Oryctolagus cuniculus: one gene and its partners. The protein of the gene in region 3 interacts with the protein of the main gene of each other region in a pairwise test. Links are inferred from orthologs where the notes say so. Each region holds a gene or a part of one and is shown on either strand. Other genes may lie near its edges.

Region 1 (5,853 bases), on a different chromosome or scaffold from region 3:
TGCCCAGTGTTAGAGAGAGGGACAGGATGATGGGATGGCAGTCCTGGGGGCACAGCAGGACTTCCTGCCCAGTGTTTTAGTGAGAAGTGGTAAGCTCTTTTTCCTTCATTTGACCCCAGGGTACAATTTTCTCCTAAGATATTTAAACCCTCTCAAAATTGATGTTTTACAGAACTGTAACTTATTACCAACCTGTGGAACAAGGACGAGGTATTAACGATGGATTTGCTAACCTTATTGAATATTCATGGGAGAAACTGGGGTAGATAAAAGTCAAGCTGCGTTTCTACACTTGGAGAGAAGTCCTACTCTGTGTATGAACTGTCCCTCCAGAATCCAATTCATCCCCTTACTTTCCTCAACAGCTAATTGCTCTCTCGTCTGTGCCCAGAGCACCTCATGTACCACTTCCATTGTTCATAGCACTTTAATTCTTGCTTCCTTTTTTTCTCATTTTATAGGCAACTTTTTAGAAATCTGTGTTGTACAACAAGTTACCCTTGAGAATCCTATTAAGTTATAGACTATTTCTGGCAACCATACGTACAGATATACATGTGTGTATGTGCACACACACACACACACAAACTCTGGGTCCAGGGAGTTGGATTTAAAAAGCCTCACGTTGTACCACCCATGCCATGCTGATACACAGTATATAACAGAATAAATGCTTGTTGAATGGAACTGCAAATGGTCATGCACCTTGTCAGTGTTTCAGTCACTCTGAAACCCATAACTGTTGCTAGAGACTCAGGCCAGATCCAGCTTCCCTTTCCAATCTTACATCTCCATCTTACCAGCAGGAGCCCTCACCCCCATCAGAGGTGCAACTGTTAGCAAGTCCTTCTTTTCCTCTTCTTCTTTATCTCCTCCTCCTCTTCTCCTTCTCCTTCTTCTTTTAAAGATTTATTTTATTTACTTGAAAGACCGTTGCAGAGAGAGGTCTTCCATCCACTGGTTCACTTCCCAAATGGCCACAACTTCTGGAGCTGAGCCTGTCTGAAGCCAGGAGCCAGGAGCTTCTTCTGAGTCTCCTACATGGGTGCAGGGGCCCAAGAACTTGGGCCATCCTCCGCTGCTTTCCCAGGCGCACTAGCAGGGAGCTGGATCCAAAGTGGAGCAGCTGGGACTAGAACTGGCACCCATATGGGATGCCAGTGCTGTAGGCCAGGGTTTTAACCCACTGTACCACAGTGGGGGCTTCAACAAGTCCTTCTTTTAACAGAATTAATTCTTTGTTGTCTTTGTATTAGCTCTAATATGTCATAATGAATTCTTATACGACTGAATGAACCAAAATTCAAATATCAGTGCATGCTTAGGTAAAGTAAATTAGCACAAAATTCTAAAATAATTGACCTGCCTTAGAATATAAGCAAATTGCTTATTTAATTTTCACCTCCTATTTTGCAAATTTGTCTTATTTCCTCTCTCTCTCTCCCTCTATCAATATACATTTTATACAAAGCAATAACGCAAAAATTACAACTTTAAATCATGGAAAGATCATAGAGAATACAAGTTTATGTAATACAGCCTGGTCTGGGACATGCACAGCAGTCTCTTGATGACATCCACCTGCCTTGGGGCAGCAGCATTAGGTGGTGGGTGGCTGGGTGGACATCAGAGCAACCTCCATGGTCTGCTCCACGTGCTAAAGGTGTGCCCTGCAGGGGGTGGGGCTGGAGAGTGAGTCAGGAAAGTGGATTAAAACTGGTTCTTCGGCACTGATGTTTCCAAGATTTGAAATTCTGATCTTTGTGGTGTTAAAAACTGTTACATAGAAGCAGACTTCAAAATCTTCACAGAAAATTAAAAGTTTGTTTTGGTGCCAAGAATTTTGAAATCCATGCATAGCTTTTCATCATATGCATTATCTGTGAACTCTTTGGAGACCCCTTGTGTACATGCAACTTCTCTCACTGTTACAATAACCCCACAAGTGGGAGAACGATAGTCCGATTGCGAATGAGGAAGCTGAATCCTGAGAGGCCAAGGAGCTGCCCCAGTGTGGCCCTGCAAGTGCAGCTCCAGAGCTGACCTCCTAACCCATTCCCATTCTCTCTGTGGGGAGAAAAGACTCGGCAACCGAGTAGCGGGACTGAGCTGGCTGGATGGTAAAGGCAGCTTTGGAGATGTGACATAGATCTCACTAGTGTAAGAAGAATCCCAGAAAGATGCACACGTGAGCTTAGTATGTTTTAAAGAAGAGAAACTTGCATGGGGTAAACACGAAATGATTGGTGACCATTTATTGCTAAATAATGGCATGATAGAGCTTAAGGAAAAATTCCAAAAATAGGATTGTAAGACTGTCGCTCCTTTGAATACCTGTGAGCAAATAAAACTTCCACTAAAATATATGGCACAGGTTAATGGGAAACAGAAAAAAAATGCATGTTCTGAGCTAGAAAACACCAATTTCAATTCCGTGTTTGTGTCTCATGTAAACCGTCTCCTGTTCCCGCAGGAGTTCCCTTCCTTTCCCCTACCTGGGCGAGCAGCATCTGCCTTCTCCCTGGGATTGCAGTTCAATCTCTCAGTCTTCTTAGCCTCCCCCGGCCTGCTCCTGCGCTGCATTCTGCGGTCTCTCCCCTTCCAGGCTCTCCTTGCCCACCCTCCTGCAGGGCCTTTGTCAGGGTCTCCTGTGGTGTCTCTCCCACTGGGATGACTTTGTCATTGGTTCCTCTCCCATACCACTGGATCCGCCTCTTTTTGAACCAGATTTGATCCTAGGAGGCCTCTGCTCAGAAGCTGTGACAGATCTCCATCGCCCACCCCATGAAGGCAGACCCTTGGGAGATGGGTGTGTCCCGGGCCAGCCCCCCTTACCCCAGCATGCAGCACAGCCTCCAGCCCTCCGAAAAGTGCCTGACCTGCTGCGCATTCTCTATCGCAACACCACCTTCAAGGCCTGGGGTGCCCGTCCCCATCTTCCTGCAGCCCCACCCCAGGTCTTCAATGCCCGGACTTGAAGTCACTTTCTAGAAATTTCTCCCAATCTTCCTCAAAATTAGTGTTTCAGTTTGGGGCTCCTCCTGATGCACTTGGTTTGTGTTGCTTTGACAGCACTTGGCAGGCTTCTCTGGGCTGTGAACAGTGCCTTCTGGGCTACAGAGGTCCTCCATGTACCCCATGACAGCTTCCTGCTACGGCATGCTGGGCCCTTATCAATTCAATGCTCTTGGGCAGCAGAAGATGAACAAGACCTAAACGAAAATCCTGTTCTTTTTTTTTTTCAACCTAAATATAAACAGCAAGTTCATGCATTTTTATTTTCATCGTAAGTAAACTAAGGCAGTGAAGAGAGCAACAGCCAATATTCTCCATTATCTCTTCCCTCCCCAACCAGAACCAACTGGATTAAAGATTACTTGGACGATGCCCCTGTTCTGATTCTCATTTTCAAACAAGTACATGGCTTTACTGCAAAGGGCAAGAAAAAGGTGCACTACTACAATGAGATCAGCGTTTCCATCGCCTGTGGCATCCTGCTAGCTGCCCTGCAGGTATGTTTCCCTCCCACTGCGCCACGGGGGAGAAACAGGACTTGGGAGTGGAGGGGCACTATGGTGGCCCTATTAGCACATTTCATCAGAGTTTCCAAATCAGGGATGTTAGGAAACTTTATGCAAAGTTGAATGCCGGAGAAACTCCTAATGCTGGAGACCCCGGTGGGTGATGAGGAGGGTCCAACAGGCTGGAATTCTTCTTGGAAATTCACTTGGAAAATCATTTCGGGTCCGAAGGATCGTCGTTCAGTTTGCCCTCATCTGTAACAACCTGCAGCTTCAAGGGCTTCGGCAGACACACAAGAGCTTCAGAGGCTGAAAGTCCCCGAGACTCGCTCCCTGCCCGTGTCTACTGCCCCCCGCCCCCTGCAGCGGGGGAGGGGACGATGGCAAAGCTAGCAGTGGGGCTGCACTGTCTTCCAGCGCCTTCCCTGACACGCTGACTTGGCGTTGTATGACTTAACACAGCTACGGGCTGGCATTTTCCTCTTATCTGCACAGCGGTGAGAGCAACGCTAACATGGGATAGAGCACAGTGCAGATGGGCCTCGCAAGCCATTCGATTCACTCGCGCAGCAGAAATTCTCGGAGCTCCCTCCGTGCGGCGGTCCCAGGGGTTGCTGGTGAACTGAGCGTTCTGCAGGGCTTTGGAGTCAGGGCTGGGGGTGGAGAGACGGCAAAAACGCAAAATAAACACAGCAGCGAAGATTATCAGCGCGAGTGGTCCTACTTTCGAGGGCCAGTCCATTCCGACACATACGAGCTGCTTCATCGTCTCAGACAAGTGTGTCGGCTGAGCAGCTCCCGGGGACACAGCCACCGCTAGAGGCACGTGCTTTCAGATGACCGGCATCTACTTCCTAACTGCACCTGTGAGTAGGTGAACAAAGGATCCCGAGCGGAGGCCACAGGTCCCGCGGTCCATCCAGGAGCAGCGAGGGCTCCCTGGGAGCTCGGCTCGCTGCTGCCCTCTAGCGCTTGCTGAGGCAAGTTGTGATCAGAGGGAGGAGAACACTGTGGTAGCCCCCTCCTTACATAGGGTGTGACGGGAATAAGCTGGCCTTGCAGGACTGGGCAGCTCCGGGGCCTCTTGCTGGTTCCTGGAGAAGGGTGGCCGGGGAAGTGCCTGGAAGCCTCACTTTGGACCCAAATGCTCGTTATTTGGAGGTCTGGGGAGAGATTGGTGGGGGATTTCCTTTATCCCCGGTGCATCCCGTAGCCACTGAGTCCTTTTTGATTGGGCATGGGTGTTTTCATTCACCGTGATTCGCTGCTTCCCCTGCTGGCTCCACGGTCACAGAAGCGCTTGGCTATTGCTGTTATTTAGAATAAAACAGGCAGGCCTTGATCAGTGCATTAAATTCCAGGATCTAACAGTAGGTCTACAATTTTAAACATCATGATGACGATGATGATGTTTCAAAATATCTGTAACGATTGTAACGTGATATGAAATATCTGTGAATTTTATTTGTGACAAAGTCATAGGTGTTACACAGACCTGCTGAATTCTATCTTTGACCCTTTTTGATCTGAGGATTTCAGGTTAAAGAACTCCTGATCTGTCAGAAGATCAAAGTGCTAGCATCCCGAGAGAGTGGAAGATGCAATAGTAAAAGAAGTTATCTCAAAGAGAAGGGTTATCTAACATGTTCTGTATGTTCACAGATTTCTAAGACATCCAAAATTCAGTATAGAACAAAAGCTGTGTTTTCAAGGAGGATCAAAATATAAAATCACACAGAATTAAGATGTAAATATTTTCTCAATGAGAAGGTCACGATTTACCCATTCCAAATTCAAACAATATGAGCAGATATGATAAAGGATGAGACACACCATGATGAAGTAGAGCTGATCCTAGCCTGTAGAGGAAGAAGAAAGACATATATTTTTCATGCCTATGTTCTTGAGAACGGTAGCTGAGGCATTGTAAAACTCTGGAAATCAAGGTAGATGATGATGTAGCATGAGAGCCCTTCAGGACAGATCCTAGAGGTGGTCCAAAGCCAACATTGTATCTATTGGTAACAGACCACAGTCAGGGAGCTGGAATTCAGAAAAGAGTATTTAGTAGGAACACTGTGAAAGAGGTAGGGCTAGGAGGATTGCTCTTATCATTTCAGTAGTGCACCAAGTTGTAGACCGACCCCTTAGCTAAAGGGAATTTTCTGCTCTTTGCCAGCCCTTTGGTGTGGTTGGATCCCTAAATTTCTAACTACAAAATACCCATTTTTTTTTTTTTTGACAGGCAGAGTGGATAGTGAGAGAGAGAGAGACAGAGAGAAAGGTCTTCCTTTTGCCGTTGGTTCACCCTCCAATGGCCGCTGCGGCCGGC
Region 2 (5,853 bases), on a different chromosome or scaffold from region 3:
GCTTTAACAGCCTCACTTAAATCTGCATTTTCTTCCCAGCTCTTAAAGTCAGTCTTCATTGTCGGCTCTTGGGCCAGGTGTGTGGAAGAGACTCCCTAAGGCTTCATTTCCAAGTTACTTGAAATGCCACAATTTTCCATAACTTCAGTTTGGTCTTAGTGAAAGGCCAGCCAGAGCATTGGTTCATTCAGATAACAAAAATGAAATCGCTTCCAAGGATTGCTTCTAGTGAGATATCTATATATAGATTTAAATCTATAAATCAATCAATCTCTTTAGAGTTTCCCCAGATTATCTAGGCATTTGATGAAGACTTGGCAATTTTTGAAAATGCCAGAATAGTTACTTTCCAAGGCATGGATTTTGGTAAAATAGCTGATAGCATCCAAATACAGTTGCTTCTTATTTCACAGCTTAGAATTTAAAATTGAAAAGGAATTAATGTTTATAGAAATTTGTTGTTTGCTTCTTGGTCTACAGGGATGAGCTGAGTCGCTTTTTAAGGCTGCTGCATCTGTGTATGTCCTGCCTACCTTGATTTTTTTATACTTTCTGAATATTCTTTTTTTTTTCAGATTTCTTTTACTTTATTAAAGAATTTTACATTTATGTGCAGGAGCTACCTTGATTTCTTACTGAGCAAGCTAACTTTGAGACAGAAATGTTTGAGAACATTTTTGTCATTTAGAGCATGCGTTTGTTTTGTTTTGCTTTAAAGATTTATTTATTTGAAAGGCAGAGTGATAGAGAGAAAGAGGGAAACAGAGGAAGAGATCTTCTGTCTTCTGGTTCACTCCCCAGGTGGCCACAACGGTGAGGATTGGGCCAGGCCAAAGCCAGGAGCCTAGAACTCCATTCAGGTCTGCCACATGGGTGGCAGAGGCCTGAGTACTTAGGCTATTATTCATTGCCTTCTCCAGCGTTAGCAGGGAGCTGGATTGGAAGTGGAGCAGCTGGGACTTGAACCAGTGCTCTGATATGGGATGCCGATGTCGTAGGCAGCAGCTTAAACTGCTGGGCCACCATGCTGGTCCTGGGACGAGAACATTTTTAATAATTAATATTTATTTATTTGAAAAGCAGGGAGATATTTCTCATCTGATGGTTCAGTCCAGATGGCCACAATGGGCCAGGCCAAAGCCAGGAGCCAGGATCTCAATCTGGGTGGCAGGGACCCCAAGTACTTGAGCCATTACCTGCTGCCTCCCAGAGTGTGCATTTAGCAGAAAGCTGGTATGTGAAGCAGGGCCAGGGCTCAAACCCAGGCACTCTGAACTGGGATGTGGGTGTCCAAAGCTGCATCTTTGTATTATTATTATTATTATTTTAAAAGGATTCATTCATTTATTTGAAAGGCAGAGTTAGAGGGGGGGGAGGCAGAGAGAGAGAGAGAGAGAGAGAGAGAGAGAGAGAGATCATCCATGTGCTGGTTTACTCCCCAAATGGCTGCAATGGCCATGGATGGGCCAGGCTAAACCAGGAGCCTGGAACTCCTCAGGGTCTCCCACATGGGTGGCAAGGGGCCCAAACACTTGGGCCATCCTCTGTTGCTTTCTCAGACACATTGGCAGAGAGCTGGATCAGAAGCAGAGTAGCCGGGACTAGAACTGGCACTCAAATGGGATGCCGGCCTTGCAGGCAGCGGCTTAACCACACTGCACCACAACGCGGGCCCTCACAGCTGCATCTTAACCACTGCACCAAATGCCCACGCCAGGACATTTGGATACCCAACATTTTGTATTTTCTGTCAACATGTTTTGTTTGTTACACACGTATTTCATTACATTGCTTTCTTTTTCTCTTTAGACTTTGGATCGTCACAGTTGAACAGATCACTTGGAGGTAAGCTAGACATTGCAAAATGCTTGTAAGGGCTTTGTATCTTAATATTCCCCTGTGGCAGTGTGTATGTTCTTCTTGTCTGCCCACTATATTCTGCCTACGCTTTGTCCAGGGAAAGAAAGGGCATATTACATTGTCAAGGAGACCCAAGAGAAGACAAGTAAGGTGCAGAGTCTCCTCCACCTTTGAAAGATTTTGAGATTTTGGGGTGGGGAAAGTTGAATCTGGGCTCCGGTTGGAGTCAGCTGCAGGTTGACCTGAGCCCTTGGGGGCAGACTCAGGATGCAGAACGTGAACAGCCTGCGTGCTGCCTGTTCTAACCAAACACCAAATCCCCAAGTCGGGGAGATACAGGCTGTGGTGGCTGCCAAGCTGTTGTGTAGCTGGTTGGATGTAAAGGTTATTCATCTTTTCTAAATACTTGTAAGTAAATGAAGTCATTCTCTACTCTTGTGATCCTGCCACCCTAATGGAAAAATCACTATAGATAAGGTGGCTTGTCTCAGTGTTGGGAGTGTTATGCAAGTTTCTGGCATCAGGGCTTAATGCAGATTCGGACTGGATATTGAGCATTTGTCCTGCTCTTCTCTCCATAGAAAGCCCGTAGCTCCATTGCACCATGTGTGGCATTTGGGCCCTCTTTGGCAGTGACGACTGCCTGTCTGTGCAGTGTCTGAGTGCCATGAAAATCGCACACAGGGGTCCAGATGCATTTCGTTTCGAGAATGTCAATGGCTACACCAACTGCTGCTTTGGATTTCATCGGTTGGCAGTGGTTGACCAGTTGTTTGGAATGCAGCCAATTCGAGTGAAGAAATACCCTTATTTGTGGCTTTGTTACAATGGAGAAATCTACAACCACAAGGCGGTAAGCGAGTTAAAAGCAGGCGATGTCTGGAGGGGATGTAACCTCAGAGCTACTTGGTCGTAATAGTATTACACGCTCCGTGTGATGCCTTCTACTTTCAAAGCCCTTTTCTTGTCCATTATCTCATTTGTTTCAGTTATACAGATAGACAAGGCACTGATACACCAAGAGAGAAGTCGGTCACACAAACACACACAAAATAGAAGCCACAAAAACTGAAGTTACCATTTGGGTCTTTGACTCTCAGAATATGTTTTTCTGTTAGGAATATAAATATTACCTAAGGGCCGTGCTAGGCTCACTGTCCTCTGCTCTGGGCTGGGCATGGTGGGGCAAATGAGAGCTGTCAGTTGCCGGAGGAGATTATTCTCTCCGGGGACAGAGGGAGAGTCGTTGCTCATGCCACGGGTGTTCTGGAAGAATGAATGCAGAATTGCTGAGCAGGGGAGGTCCACTGTGAGGAACGGTGGTTGGAAGCCTCGTGGAGAAGCGACGCTTGGCTGAGACCTGGCAGTCAAGGATCAGCTCATGAGGCCAGGAAGCACTTCCTGCAGCAGGAAGAGCATGTGGAAGCCCCGATGTGGGCGGCAGCCCTGGGAGTGCAGTGAGCAGTAGGCAGGTGGGAAGGCTGAGCTTAAGTGGAAGCAGGGCCACTAAGCAGCTCTTTTTTTTTTTTTTTTTAAGATTTATTCGTTGGGGCCCACGCTGTGGTGTAGTGGGTAAAGCTGCCACCTGCAGTGTCTGCATCCCATTTGGGCTCTGGTTCAAGTCCCAGCTGCTCCACTTCCAATCCAGCTCTCTGCGATGTCCTGGGAAAGCAGTATAGGATGGCCCAAGTCCTTGGGCCCCTGCACCCGCGTGGGAGACCCAGGAGAAGCTTCTAGCTCCTGGCTTCAGATTGGTGCAGCTCCAGCCATTGTGGCCATTTGGGGAGTAAACCAGGGGATGGAAGACCTTTTTTTCTCTCTCTTTCTCTCTGCCTCCCAGTAACTCGTCTTTCAAATAAATAAATAAAATCTTAAAAAATGATTTGTTAATTTGAGAGGCAGAGTTACAGAGAGGCAGTGGCAGGGGGGTGGGGGAGAGGAGATAGAGATCCACTGGCTCACTCCACAAATGGGTGCAGTGGCCGGAGCTGGGCTGATCCGAAGCCAGGAGCCAGGAGCTTCTTCCCAGTCTCCCATGTGGGTGCAGGGGCCCAAGGACTTGGGCCATCCTATACTGCTTTCCCAGGCACATTAGCAGGGAGCTGGATTGGAAGTGGAGCAGCCAGGACACGAACCATAGCCTGATGTGGCACTGCAGGCGGCAGCTGTGTCTGCTACACCACAGTGCTGGCCCCCCTAAGCAAGTCTTTGTAGCCATGGTCAGCAATGGGAATACCATCTAAGAGCGGTGGCAGTTGAGGACTTTAAGGGAGATATTGGAGATGATCATGCTTACAGCTTTTATATAATGCTGCCACTGAGATCTCCCGGCATCCGCCTACCTCACTGATCAGAGCCAGAGGGCAGAAAGGTGGCCTGCAGCAAGTTAGACTCGCAGTAGCACTGGGATCACAGATGCCTCTCATCTGGCGAAAGCTTCCGCTTAAAGTGTGGGTGGTGGGTAAAGAAATTCTGACCCTAGGAACCAAAGGAACTTCCAATCGGATTATTTGGCTAGTGTTTCATGAGAAAACAAAATTTAAATCTGTGGCTGACAGTTTCCTTTTTGTTTATCACCACTGTCCAACTTTCAATGTGGAAATCCTTTCAAATATAGAGAACAGAGCAGTGAATTCCTGGATTGACCAATCCTAAATGTTTTGCCCTATTTGCTTTTTCTCTGTTTCTGTGTGCACACTTTCAGTCTTGGGCTTGAGAGTATGTTGCAGGTATTATGGTACTTTTCCTTCAACATGTAAGCATTTATCTTCAAAGAACAAGCACATTTTTTCTACTTAAGCAATACTATTAAACCTAAGAACTATAATACCTTCCAACATTTAGTTCGTATTTAAATTTTCCCAAGTGTCCCAATAATTTTTTTTTTTTTAAGATGTCATTTAATTTATTTGGCAGACTTACACAGGGAGTGTGAGAGAGAAATCTTCCATCTACTGGTTCACTCCCCAAATGGCTGCAAGCAGGAGCTGGGCCAATCCAAAGCCAGGAGCCAGGAGCTTTGGGCCATCTTCTGTTACCCTCCTAGGTGCATTAGCAGGGAGCTGGATCAGAAGTGGAGCATCCGGTATGGGATGCTGGTGCTGCAGGCAGAGGCTCAACCTCATCCAGGATTTTCAGTTGGTTTTACATGAACTTCTTTTGTCTGCAGCCTCAACTGAAAACATTGAGTGCAAGTACGAAGAGGACGAGGGAGGCCTTGGCTCATCAGGGTTGGCAGGGGCAGGGGAGAGCCACAGAGCTTTGGGTGCAGCTTCCTGGGACCTGCTCTGCGTGTGGCGTCAGCGACAGCCTCTGCTGTTCCGCTGGGGCTTGGGCTGAAAAAGCTTCACTAGGAGTTTGTCTGTCCGTGAGAAGTGGGGGTGGAAGGACCTCCCCCTGATGACCAGCACGTTTGTCTTGGACCACGTGTCTGCCATTGTGCTGGGACATTTATTTTTCAGGGAATGTTGCCAAGTTCTCTGTATCCCTGTGCTCTGTATTTTCATGGGTAGGTGTTTGAGGCTGAATTGGCAGAACCTTGGCTTATGCTGTTTCCCAAACCAGAAGTTTACAATCGCAGAAGACACCTTTTGAGTGGCAACCTATGTTCTTAACACACGTTTATATGTGGATCATGTTACCTGCCTCGTATGGCCGTGTATGGTAGGCACATGCTTCCCTCCACGTGTCACTCTTCTGGTATGTTACCATGCATTCTCCTTTTCAGAATGCAACTGAAAGGTTCACCATTTGGCTTTGTGTTGTAAGAAATGAAACAAGCTCTGTTTTTGATAAAGCCTTGATTCTTCCAAATCACTGAAGTGCATACAAGACTCACTGAGCACGGAAGTCACTGAGGTTACTTCGGCATAAAACGTCTAGCGAATGCACGAGGATTCTAATGTTTTGTTTTGCTGTTGCCTCCTCAAGATGCAACATCACTTTGAATTTGAATACCAGACCAAAGTGGATGGAGAGATCATCCTTCATCTT
Region 3 (5,853 bases):
GAGTAAGTGAGCTTGGAGCAGAAAAAGTTATTTTGGAGATGGTGCAATTACTGGGGATGGTAAAACCCCCACTATAACAGTGGGAATGAGTGGATAAAGCTGGAAATCATTGGAAATGAGGAGGATGAAGAACTAAGAAGCCAGGAGGATGTCAGATGGTTCATATGTGAGGATGGTGAGGTCACTCAAGAAAAGAGCTTCATGTGCAGCAATTTTCAATTTTAGTGCTTCAGACATTGCTCAGAACCTGATTCTTTTATATTGTTCTGACAGCAGGAATAGCATCCCCTCCAGTCCCAGATAAGGGCAATTCTTCAAGCCCCCTTATGATCCCAATCTAACAGCACAACTTGGTAGATATTGGTTTGCCAATCTGGAGGTTACTGTTCATTCTAGGATGTTTGATGAACTTCACAAGTTTATTTAATACGGCATTGGTTGCCATCTTAGTGCTGCAATAGGAACACTTTTGCTATTCCATCCTGAATCACTAAACTAGCTGGGAAAGAAGGAGTAAGTCTCCTAAAAGATTCCTTTTAATATGGATGAATGTTGACACTGTATGCATTTTGCTTGTGATGATCTTTCTCAAGCTGAGTGGGCATTAGTGGTGTGGGCCCCTGTCCCCAAGTCCTTGTCTCAGTAATAACCATGCTGATGATCGTGGAGGTTTCCAGGAAAACAAGGTACATCTACAGCAACATGTGTCCTTGGAGTTTCTAAAGCTGCATCAGTTCCTGCACAGCAAAGAAAAGGACATTCTAAATGAGCTCCGGGAAGAGGGCAAAACCTTGAATGAGGAGATGGAGTTGAATTTGAACCAGCTTCAGGAGCAGTGTCTCCTGGCCAAGGATATGCTGGTTAGCATTCAGGTACGGATGGAACAGCAGAACTCCTTCGACTTCCTCAAGGTGAGGCTCCACCCCAACGCGACTGCAGGTACACTCAGAGGGAGGAAGAGGGCTGAAGAGGATGTGGAAGTGACTTTTCACTAGGGGAAAAACAAAGTGAAACTACTCTAGTGCTTTTAAGTCTTTCTGGGAATAAAGCAGGAAGGTACTTTTGTTTTTGGCTCAGCAGATGGGTTTACTGTCATCCTCCTAGAAAAAGAAGATAATAAAATCTCATTCATAGGGGCGGCACTGTGGCTCACTTGGTTAATCCTTCGCCTGCAGTGCCTGCATCCCTTATGGGCATCTGGTTCTAGTTCCGGTTGCTCCTCTTCCAGTCCAGCTCTCTGCTGTGGCCCGGGAGTGCAGTGGAGGATGGCCCAAGTGCTTGGGCCCCTGCACCCATGTGGGAGACCAGGAGGAAGCACCTGGCTCCTGGCTTTGGATCGGCGCAGCGCTGGCCGTAGTGGCCATCTTGGGGGTGAACCAACGGAAGGAAGACCTTTCTGTCACTCTCTCACTGTCTATAACTCTGTCAAATAAAAATTAAAAAAAAAAAAAAAAGAACCAACTCATTCATAGTGTGGGACACTGTGGTACAGAGGGTTAGGCAGTTGCTTGAGATTCCTGCATATATGGGAGTGCCTGGGATTGAGTCCAGACTCTGACTTTCACTGAACTTCCTGCTAATGCGTACCCTGGGAGGCAGCAGATAATGGCTCAAGTACCTGTGTCCCTGCCAACCACATAGGAGATCTGCGTGGAATTTCTGGCTCCTAACTTTGGCTTGACCAAGCTCTGGCTGTTGCAGACTTTTGAGGACTGACTAGTAAATAGAAGATCTTTCTACCTTTTGATCTCTTTCTGTTGCTCTGCTTTTCAAATATAAATTAACATTTTTTAAAAAAATGCCATTAATAACAGTGTGGTTTAGTATTTCTCCCTAACCAACTTTAAAGCTTTATATCTAAACATAAGAATGTTTGCAGCTTGATTTGTATCTTTGACTTGGGTTCAGCAATCATAAGGTGACATATTTGAAAAGTTATTTGCCAAATTTTGCTACCTAAAGTTTCACTTCTAAGTTGACAGAATTCAGCACTTAGAAGTTTAGTTAGCCAGAAGGAAAAGTGTGCTTGGACTGGATTTTCTGGTGATACTATTTGAAAGGATAGGTTACAACAAAAAGAAAAGCTTAAACTTTACTGTCTTATTGATTTCCCTCTTATCCTTTATAAAAGGGAATTCTAGAAAGTCAAGACAAGGTAAGGTCAGTTTATCCTGGATGAGATCAGGGATGCAGACCAGAAAAGGCATATGGAGGATGAAAGCAGTTGGTGGAGAGGGGGCCTATCTACATAGGATAGCAGGTGATGATCAAATTCTAGTGGTGGCCAAATCACCAAAGGAGTCTCTGGAGTTGATGAACAGATGTCTGACTTGTCTATTTCTCCTTTCCTCTTCTAGGACATCACAAATCTTTTGGATAGGTAAGTGTTTCCCCCATGGTACTCTTACTGCCCGTTCTTCAGCTCCTGGAGAATGTCTACAAATAAATGATTTATTTCCCCTTCAGCTTGGAGCAAGGAATGAAGGTGCTGACACCCAGGGACCTTATCTCCAGAAAGTTGAACCCAGGCCAGTTCAAGGGTCCCATCCAGTATATGATATGGAGGGAAATGCAGTCCACCATCCTTCCAGGTATCAAGTGGGTAGCGACCTGGACTCCTAATTATGCTTCATTCCTGGAGACTCTTCTGAGGCCCTAATTAGGTCTTTAGACTCTGGTACGGGAAGAAAGATGGAGTTTAGCCAAAAGGAGACTTAGTTGGTATGACTGAACTTCTTTTGGAGTTATACCTAAGAACTTATGGCTTTGTATCAGTTAACAGATGAATCTGATATTAGAATTTATTCCCAGCCTATGATTTTGTTTGTTCTATTAAATGTGGCCAAAATTTTGTCCTCTTGCAAAAATACCTCCATAAATCCCTGAGGCTTCTCTGCCCTGGGGAAGGAAGTTTCTGCACATATTTCTCCATATGCACATGGGATGTTTACAGGTTCTTTGTGCTTGACGGTCACAGCACAGAGTAGAACATCTTAGGATATTGCGCAGAGATCTTCAGTAGGAAACCAATAATTTGAATAAATATGCCTAATAAGGATGCTAAGTTTTTGTGTTCCTGTGGATGCCAAAAGAATGAGGACAAAATAACATAGATGGCATTCCAAGAACACTATATAAGTTTTTAAAAAATCTTTATAAGAAAATCTTTTCTAGAAACAAAATTCTAAATAATGTTTTTACAGAATTCATTTAGACCCATTTTCATGATTGTCATAATTACTGATTTAATTATGACCAAGAAAATTACAAATTTTTCCAGAGAATTGACAGGGGAAAATAAACCCTTTACTGAAGTATAAACAACAGAATAAAATTTACCAATAAAAAAGAGTTATTCATTTACTTATTTGAAAGGCAGAGTGACAGAGAGAGGGAGAGGGAGATCTAGAGGGAGGGAGGAAAGGAGAGGGAGTGGAAAGGAGGGAGGGAGGGAGAAAGGGAGGGAGGGAGTATGTCTCTCATCTACTAATTGACTCTCCAAATTGTTGCAATGGCAAGGACTGGGCCATGCTAAAGTCAGGAGCCAGGAATTCCATTCAAATCTCCCACATCGTGTCAGGGGCCCAAGCACTTGGGCTTGTTCTGCTGCTTTGCCAGGTATATTAGCATAGAGCTGGAACAGAAGTGGAGCAGCTGGGACTCGAACCAGTACTCCAATATGGGACGCCAGCATCTTCTTTTTATTATTTTATTTATTAAAGATTTTTGTATTTAATGTCAGAGTTACACAGAGAAAGGAGAGGCAGAGAGAGAGAGAGAGAGGTCTTCCATCTGCTGCTTCATTCCCCAGCTGGCCACAAAGGCTGGAGCTAAGCCAATCCGAAGGCAGGAGCCAGGAGCTTCTTCCAGGTCTCCCATGCGGGTGCAGGGGTCCAAGGACTTGGGCCATCTTTTACTGCTTTCCCAGGCCATAGCAGAGAGCTGGATAGGAAATGGAGCAGCCAGAACTCGAACCAGCACCCATATGGAATGCCGGCACTGCAGGCAGCGGCCTTACCTGTTACGCCACAGCACCAACCTCTTAGATGCCAGCATCTTAAGTGCTGCTTAACCTGTTGTGTCACAATGACAACCCCAAATTTACTAGTTAAGTATATTAGTTTGGTGAGTTTAGACAGACATATACGCTTATGTGAACATCCCTATAATCAAGATAAAGAAAACTTACATCATCCCAGGAAGTTCCCACATGCCCCTTCACAGTCATCCTCAACTTCATTTCTCTGTATATACTGTATCTCCCCCCGACCCCGGGGAGTCTATTTTTAGACTTGCTTTTATGCTACTTGCATATACTAATTTGATTATGCTGAGTTTTGTTGTAATTTTCTTTATATTTATTCTGCTTGTGGTTCATTGAGCTTCTTGGATCTATGAGCTAGTAGTTTTCATCAAATTTGAAATAATATCTACTAGTATTTCTTCCAGTATTTTTTTTTTTACCATACCTGTTGTCTCCCCTCCTTCTGGAATTCTGATTTTACGTATGTTAGATAATTTGATATTGTCAGGTTGTCTCATGTCATTGATTCTCACTACTTAAGCTTTAATTCGTGTGTTTCATTTGAATAGTTTCTTTTGCTATTTAAGTTCTCTTATCTTTTCTTCTGCACTAATTAATGCTGTTCAAGATATTTTCATTTCATAAACATTTAATTTCTAGAAGTTTCATTTTGGGTCTTTTTATAAAAGTCTTCCATTTCTCTCCTCATTGTACTCATACCTTCCTTGAGCAGATGGAAGATATAACTGTTTTAATGTCCTTGTTGCTAATTCCATCATTGTTATCATTTGGGACCTGTTTTTACTGCTTGATTTTTCTCCTGACTGGTCATATTTTCCTGCTGCTTTGCATGGCAAGTACTGTTTTTTTCTTTTTAATGGGGCTAATTTTTTAGAACACTTTTCAATTTTAAAATTTTACAGAACAATTGAGATGGTAGCACAGAGAGTTCTCACACACTCCTTCCCCAGGTTCTCCTATAAATAACATCTTATATTTAATACATTTTAATAATGAATCCAAGTTGATACATTTCAGTTCCTAGAATTCCATCTCTAAAATCTGTATTTTCCATCCTTATTGTCACTCTTTGGTTTAGGTCTTAATTTTTCACCTAGATGGCTATTACAGAGTCTGAGTTGGTCTTCTAGTTCTCCTTCTTTGGAGCAGAAGCTACATCTTTTATTTCTGTGTTCTCAGAGCCCAACTTAACGTTTAACACATAGTGGGCCCCTTATAAGAGTATGCTGAATGAGTGAATTTTGATGATTTTTTTTTTGATAAACACAAAACTAAAGGAAATAAATTAAAATATTTTAAATTTAGTGATTGCCTAATTTGGAGTTGGCAAACTATAGCCAAAAGGCCAAATCTGGCCTATTGCCTATTTTGTAAACGAAGTTTTATTGGAACACATCTGTGACTATTCATTTACATATTATCTGTGACTTTTTTTTTTCACCATAATGGCAGTTAAGTGGTTCCAACAAAGACCATACAACATGTAAACATTTAAAATACTAATTATCTGAGCCCTTATAGAAAAAATATTAGTTTCTTCCGAAAAGCAACAGCCTCATGTATAAACCTGATAGAGAAGGAGCTAATATAGAACCTGCAGAATAAGTGAAGACCTAGAAATAGTGCAGTAACTGAAGCTATTGATAAGAGATTTTCCAGGAGAAGGAGAGAATGGAGTTTCTTGTAGAGAATACCAACAGGAAAAATGTGATGAATCAGCCAAAAGACACAGGAGAATCTAGGCAGGAGAAATAAAAGGAAAACCAAAAAATAAAGGTGAAATGGAATCTACGGAAAGAAAATGTCAA
Region 4 (4,797 bases), on a different chromosome or scaffold from region 3:
TCTCTGCAGGCGTCCCTCGAGGACACGGGAGGCCGGCCATTCCTCCACCACTGTCATCAGTGTACGCCTGGGGCAGCGGGCTCAGCGCCCCCCTGAGGCTGCCCATGCTCAACACGGAGGTGGTGCAAGTGGCGGCTGGGCGCACGCAGAAGGCTGGCGTCACGCGCTCTGGGCGCCTCATCCTCTGGGAGGTGAGCAGGGCGTGGAAGGGGTCAGAGTGGGGACCTACAGGGAGGTTGCTGGTGCTCAGGCGCCGCCCCCTCCCTCCGCAGGCCCCGCCCCTCGGCACTGGGGGAGGCGCCCTCCTCCCCGGGGCGGTGGAGCAGCCGCAGCCCCAGTTCGTGTCGCGTTTCCTGGAAGGCCAGTCGGGCGTGACCATCAAGCACGTGGCATGTGGGGACCTCTTTACGGCCTGCCTGACCGGTGAGCCCACAGAGCAGCTCACTCGTTGCAAACTGCTCACCTAACCTTTTTCTCTCCTAGTTGTTGAGTTAGTGCTTTCTGTCTGCTAGCCGTTGAGATTTACTTACACCATCTCTGTCACCCCACACAACGGGCTTGGCAAGGGCATTGTTATGGTATACCCATTTGACAGGTGGAGAAACTGAGGCTCAGAGATTCTGCCACTTGTCCGAAGTCATACACTGAGAAGACAGCCCCCTGGCCTGTTCTCACCCATCCTTTTTGCTCTAGCCCCCAACTTTCGTCTTGCTCCTCCAAACCACAGGTGTGGGACTGGTCTAACTTCTCTGCCTTCTGTCTCCTCCCTGCCTCCTGCCCAGACCGCGGCATCATCATGACCTTCGGCAGCGGCAGCAACGGGTGCCTCGGCCACGGCAGCCTCACCGACATCAGCCAGGTGGGGATCCTGTGGGTTTCGCCCTGGGGAAGGGGAAGTAGGGGGATGGCAAACGGCCCACATCTGAGAGCCGATACCACACTGGGGCAGGGGAGTCCCCAGCAGCACAGGTGCCTCTGGCTCCGAGGCTGCACCTGCTCTTGGTGGCATCAGCGGAAGCACAGAAAGACCAGGCTTCGCCAGTGAGCGCCTCCTGCTTGGCAGCATGTGTGCAGCTGGAGTTAAAGAGACAGCACTTGAAAATGTGCAAGCTCCAATTTCATCCCCACTGGGGGTGCTGCCGCCTGGGGGCGAGTCCTGACCACCGGCCCCCTGCTTCTTCCCCCACTCTAGCCCACCATTGTGGAGGCCCTGCTGGGCTATGAGATGGTGCAGGTGGCTTGCGGGGCCTCTCACGTGCTAGCCCTGTCCACTGAGCGAGAACTGTTTGCCTGGGGCCGCGGAGATGGTGGTAAGGTCTCCACCCTTGCTGCAGCCCCTAAGCTTCGTCCCCCAGCCCCCTCCCATACCCCCGCCTCCCCCTTCCATTCTGTCTTCCCTCTTTTCTCTCCGATTTATTCTTTCAACACACCTTGGTCACACACCCACTGTGGGTCCACCCTGGGCTGGGTGCTGGGGCCAGATGAACAAGATGTGGCTTCCTCCAGGCGCACTGGGCACTAACTCCAGCGGTGGCGCAGGTGGGTACCTGTCCCCTGGAGGACTCGGGCTAGTGGAGATGGCACAGCTGCAGCGTTGCCACAGGTCAGACAGCATCGGGGCCACGCCGAGGCTCAGGTGTAGGAGCTCCAGGAGCAGCAGTCACCTGTGGAGACAGAGGGGGCATCCGAACAGGGCTTTCAGGGAGGATCCGGCTGACGGCAGCGCCATGCAAGGCCCTCTGAGGCGCAGGGAACAGCCTGCTCTCTGGGCCCCGCCCAGTGCTGAAGTGCGAACTAACCCCATCTCGCCTTCTCCTTCCTTGTAGGCAGGCTGGGTCTGGGGACCAGGGAGTCCCACAGCTGCCCCCAGCAGGTGCCCCTGCCCCCAGGACAGGAAGCCCAGCGGATTGTATGTGGCATCGACTCGTCCATGCTCCTCACTGTGCCTGGCCAAGCTCTGGCCTGTGGGAGCAACAGGTGAGCAGGTGCACCGGGCTGATTCCCCAGCCTCTGCCGCCCACCGAGGACCACGCTGAGAGGGGCTGAGGATGCTGCTTGGCCCAGTGCAGGTGCAGCAGCCCCTGCCCAGAGAGCTGGGGGCGGGCAGTCTGGATCTGCCTTCTGGCTCTGCCTTCAGGTTCAATAAGCTGGGCCTGGACCACATCTCCCTGGGGGAGGATCCCGTTCCCCACCAGCAAGTGGAGGAGGCCCTGAGCTTCACCCCTCTAGGCTCTGCACCCCTGGACCGGGAGCCCCTGCTGAGTGTGGACCTGGGCACTGCGCACTCAGCTGCTGTGACTGGTGAGGACGCGTGCATGGGAGGCCGGTGGGGGGCGCCCTGGCTTCCAGAGGGCCTCTGTTGAGGCGCCTTCCCTTGCTCTCCTGCCCCCTCCCTCCACAGCCGCGGGGCACTGCTACACATTCGGCAGCAATCAGCACGGGCAGCTGGGCAGCAGCACTGGCCGGGGCGGCCGGGCACCCTGTCAGGTCCAAGGCCTCGAGGGCATCAGGATGGCGATGGTGGCCTGTGGCGATGCCTTCACTGTAGCCATTGGGGCAGGTGAGGGGTGGGCACAGCGGGCAGACTGGCACGGAGAGCCTGGCAGGCAGTGTAGGACATCACGCTCAGGGCCGCTGGACTCAGCCAGCTCCCCCCGGGGCCAGTCTGGTAGGCTGGGCTCAGAGCTGCTTGCTTGGGCCGTGTGCCCCTTCCCACGTTCTCCCTCGGGCTTTTCTCTGGCAGAGGGTGAGGTGTACTCCTGGGGCAAGGGAGCCCGAGGCCGGCTGGGAAGGAGGGACGAGGATGCCGGCCTCCCTCGGCCGGTGCAGCTGGACGAGACACACCCTTACACCGTGACTTCCGTGTCCTGCTGCCACGGAAACACACTCTTGGCTGTGCGGCGTGAGTGTTGACTCCCCCCCACCCAGGCCAGGCTAACCCAGGGGGGCCCTGCCCACACTCCCATTCCTGGCAGGCAGTCACAGCCCAAACTACCAAACACACCACACACCGTCGACTCCCAGAAGCTGTGGGGCAAGACCAAGCTTCCTGCCAGAAGTGGGTGCTGGTGGGCGCTACCCAGGGCTTTTGTGTGCTCTACCCAGGGCTTTTGTGTGCTCCTTCTCCTCCTACCCCGCGGGTCCAAGAGGCTCTGAACCTCCAGCTCTGGCCTGGCAGGGCCCTGCGGGGCGGGGGTTGTGGTGGGAATGCTTTCTGGAGGCACCGCCTTCCGGGAGGCTGCAGGGGGTTCTGTCTGGTACCCTCCAGCTGTCACGGATGAGCCCGTGCCCCCCTGAGGTGCTGGATGCACCTCTGGACCACCCTGATCTGGCTTCTCCACCAAGAGTCATGAAGAGTGCAGGCGCCTGCGGCATGATTGTCCCCACCAGACCCCTGGGCTGTCATCAGAGGGGCGGAAGGGCCAGCGAAGTCCTGCTTTGCTTCGGAACCCCAACCGGAGCAGGCAAAGCCATGTGAGCAGCATTTCCAGCCCCGGCTGCTCCACTTCCGATCCAGCTCCCTGCTCATGCGCCTGGGAGGCCAGCAGAAGTGGTGCTTGGGCTCCTCCCTCCCACGTGGGGGACCCGGATGCAGTTCCAGGCTCCTGGCTCCCACCTTGTCCAGGCCCAGCTGGTGCTGCCTTTTGGGGAGTGAGCCAGCAGATGGAAGACCTCTCTCTCTCTGTAACTCTGCCTTTCAAATAAATAAATCTTTCAATAAACCCGAACCTCAGCCACCCCCACCCCTTTTCTCAGTCTACCCCTGGGGTCAGACCCTGGGGAGCTGGGTGGTCTCCTGGGCCTTGGCAGGCGGAGGCTGGTGGGGCTGCAGTCAGGCCTTTCCCCTCTTCCAGCCAGGAGAGCCCCTGCTGCCCAGTGGGACATGGTCTCCAAGCTTGGGAGCAGGGCAAGCCCGGACTGGCCCTTAGGCTGGCCTGGGGCTGGGAGCTCGGAGGGAGCTGCTGCCCGCCCCCACTCCTTATCCCGCAGCAGGGATTTGCACAACCTGCGAGGCCTCCCTAGCCCTGCGGGAGTGCGGGAGCCGCCCAGTGTTGCAGAGGTCACCTCCTCACCCCATGCCTTTCCCCAGACCCACGTGGAGGGGGGAAGGGGAGCTGGCTGGACCAGACCAGTTTCCCGGTAGACTGGAAGTCGCCTGAATAAAAGTATCCGCTGCCTGCCTGCAGCGTGCTCTCTTCAGAGGTGGGGTGGGTGGCAGCCACACACCACAAGACGTGGGCTGGGCCCGGCCGCGGTTGCAGGGCCGCGGCCGGGGAAGGAATGTGGGCGCAGCCGGGGGCTGGGACAGAGGCTCCTTTGGCCCAGCGCCCAGTCCAGCCTCCTCGCCCCGGACGGGCTCCTCGGATCTGGTTGCCAGGCTTAGCTGCTTAGCACCTGGAAGCTGGGGGCCCGGGTCCCTGGGGGGCGCACGGCCCCTGAGGCCGGGCTGCTGACTGCGGAGAAGCAAACCTTTGTGGAGCGGCCCGTCGTCTCTGGCTACGCCGCGCACTCCCCTGGGGCCCTCCGCCCCAGCCTAGCGCGGGGCACGCCCCTTTCCCCAGCTCCGGGGAGAAGCGGAGCCACGATCCTTCATTCCAGCCCTCGCTTCCGGGAGTGGACGAGTCTGGCCGCGGCCGGACCCCGAAGACGGGAGCCCGCGCGGTGGGCGCTAGGACCGCGCGGCCTCGGCTCCGCCCCTTCTTCCGGCGGGCGGGCTCGCGGGCCGGGCCCGGAGCGCGGCCGCCAGTCGGCGCCGCCCGGAGCCGGGAGCGCGGCCGGAGCGAGGCGCGGGCTGTG

Evidence for each region.
Region 1: the proteins of TRIM69 (region 3) and IYD interact in binary tests that used the Homo sapiens proteins (3 or more experiments, as listed by UniProt). The two-hybrid records come from large-scale screens. The link is inferred for Oryctolagus cuniculus from reciprocal best matches to the Homo sapiens genes TRIM69 and IYD.
Region 2: the proteins of TRIM69 (region 3) and ASNS interact in binary tests that used the Homo sapiens proteins (3 or more experiments, as listed by UniProt). The two-hybrid records come from large-scale screens. The link is inferred for Oryctolagus cuniculus from reciprocal best matches to the Homo sapiens genes TRIM69 and ASNS.
Region 4: the proteins of TRIM69 (region 3) and NEK8 interact in binary tests that used the Homo sapiens proteins (3 or more experiments, as listed by UniProt). The two-hybrid records come from large-scale screens. The link is inferred for Oryctolagus cuniculus from reciprocal best matches to the Homo sapiens genes TRIM69 and NEK8.

The regions. Positions count from the first base shown.
Region 1 is NC_091436.1:17,495,413-17,501,265, reverse strand, and holds part of IYD (iodotyrosine deiodinase 1), read left to right. Parts: intron 1-172; coding exon of another isoform or gene 173-266; exon of another isoform or gene 267-3,349; intron 3,350-3,355; coding exon 3,356-3,512; intron 3,513-5,853. UniProt on the Homo sapiens protein: Catalyzes the dehalogenation of halotyrosines such as 3-bromo-L-tyrosine, 3-chloro-L-tyrosine, 3-iodo-L-tyrosine and 3,5-diiodo-L-tyrosine.
Region 2 is NC_091447.1:38,574,964-38,580,816, forward strand, and holds part of ASNS (asparagine synthetase [glutamine-hydrolyzing]), read left to right. Parts: intron 1-1,809; 5' UTR 1,810-1,845; intron 1,846-2,441; 5' UTR 2,442-2,464; coding exon 2,465-2,713; intron 2,714-5,790; coding exon 5,791-5,853.
Region 3 is NC_091443.1:67,651,626-67,657,478, forward strand, and holds part of TRIM69 (E3 ubiquitin-protein ligase TRIM69), read left to right. Parts: intron 1-677; coding exon 678-911; intron 912-2,357; coding exon 2,358-2,380; intron 2,381-2,466; coding exon 2,467-2,591; intron 2,592-5,853.
Region 4 is NC_091448.1:44,230,318-44,235,114, forward strand, and holds the end of NEK8 (serine/threonine-protein kinase Nek8), read left to right. Parts: intron 1-9; coding exon 10-191; intron 192-272; coding exon 273-423; intron 424-782; coding exon 783-859; intron 860-1,192; coding exon 1,193-1,310; intron 1,311-1,430; exon of another isoform or gene 1,431-1,664; intron 1,665-1,826; coding exon 1,827-1,977; intron 1,978-2,137; coding exon 2,138-2,301; intron 2,302-2,401; coding exon 2,402-2,560; intron 2,561-2,743; coding exon 2,744-2,902; intron 2,903-3,268; coding exon 3,269-3,297; 3' UTR 3,298-3,728; downstream 3,729-4,797. UniProt on the Homo sapiens protein: Required for renal tubular integrity. May regulate local cytoskeletal structure in kidney tubule epithelial cells. May regulate ciliary biogenesis through targeting of proteins to the cilia.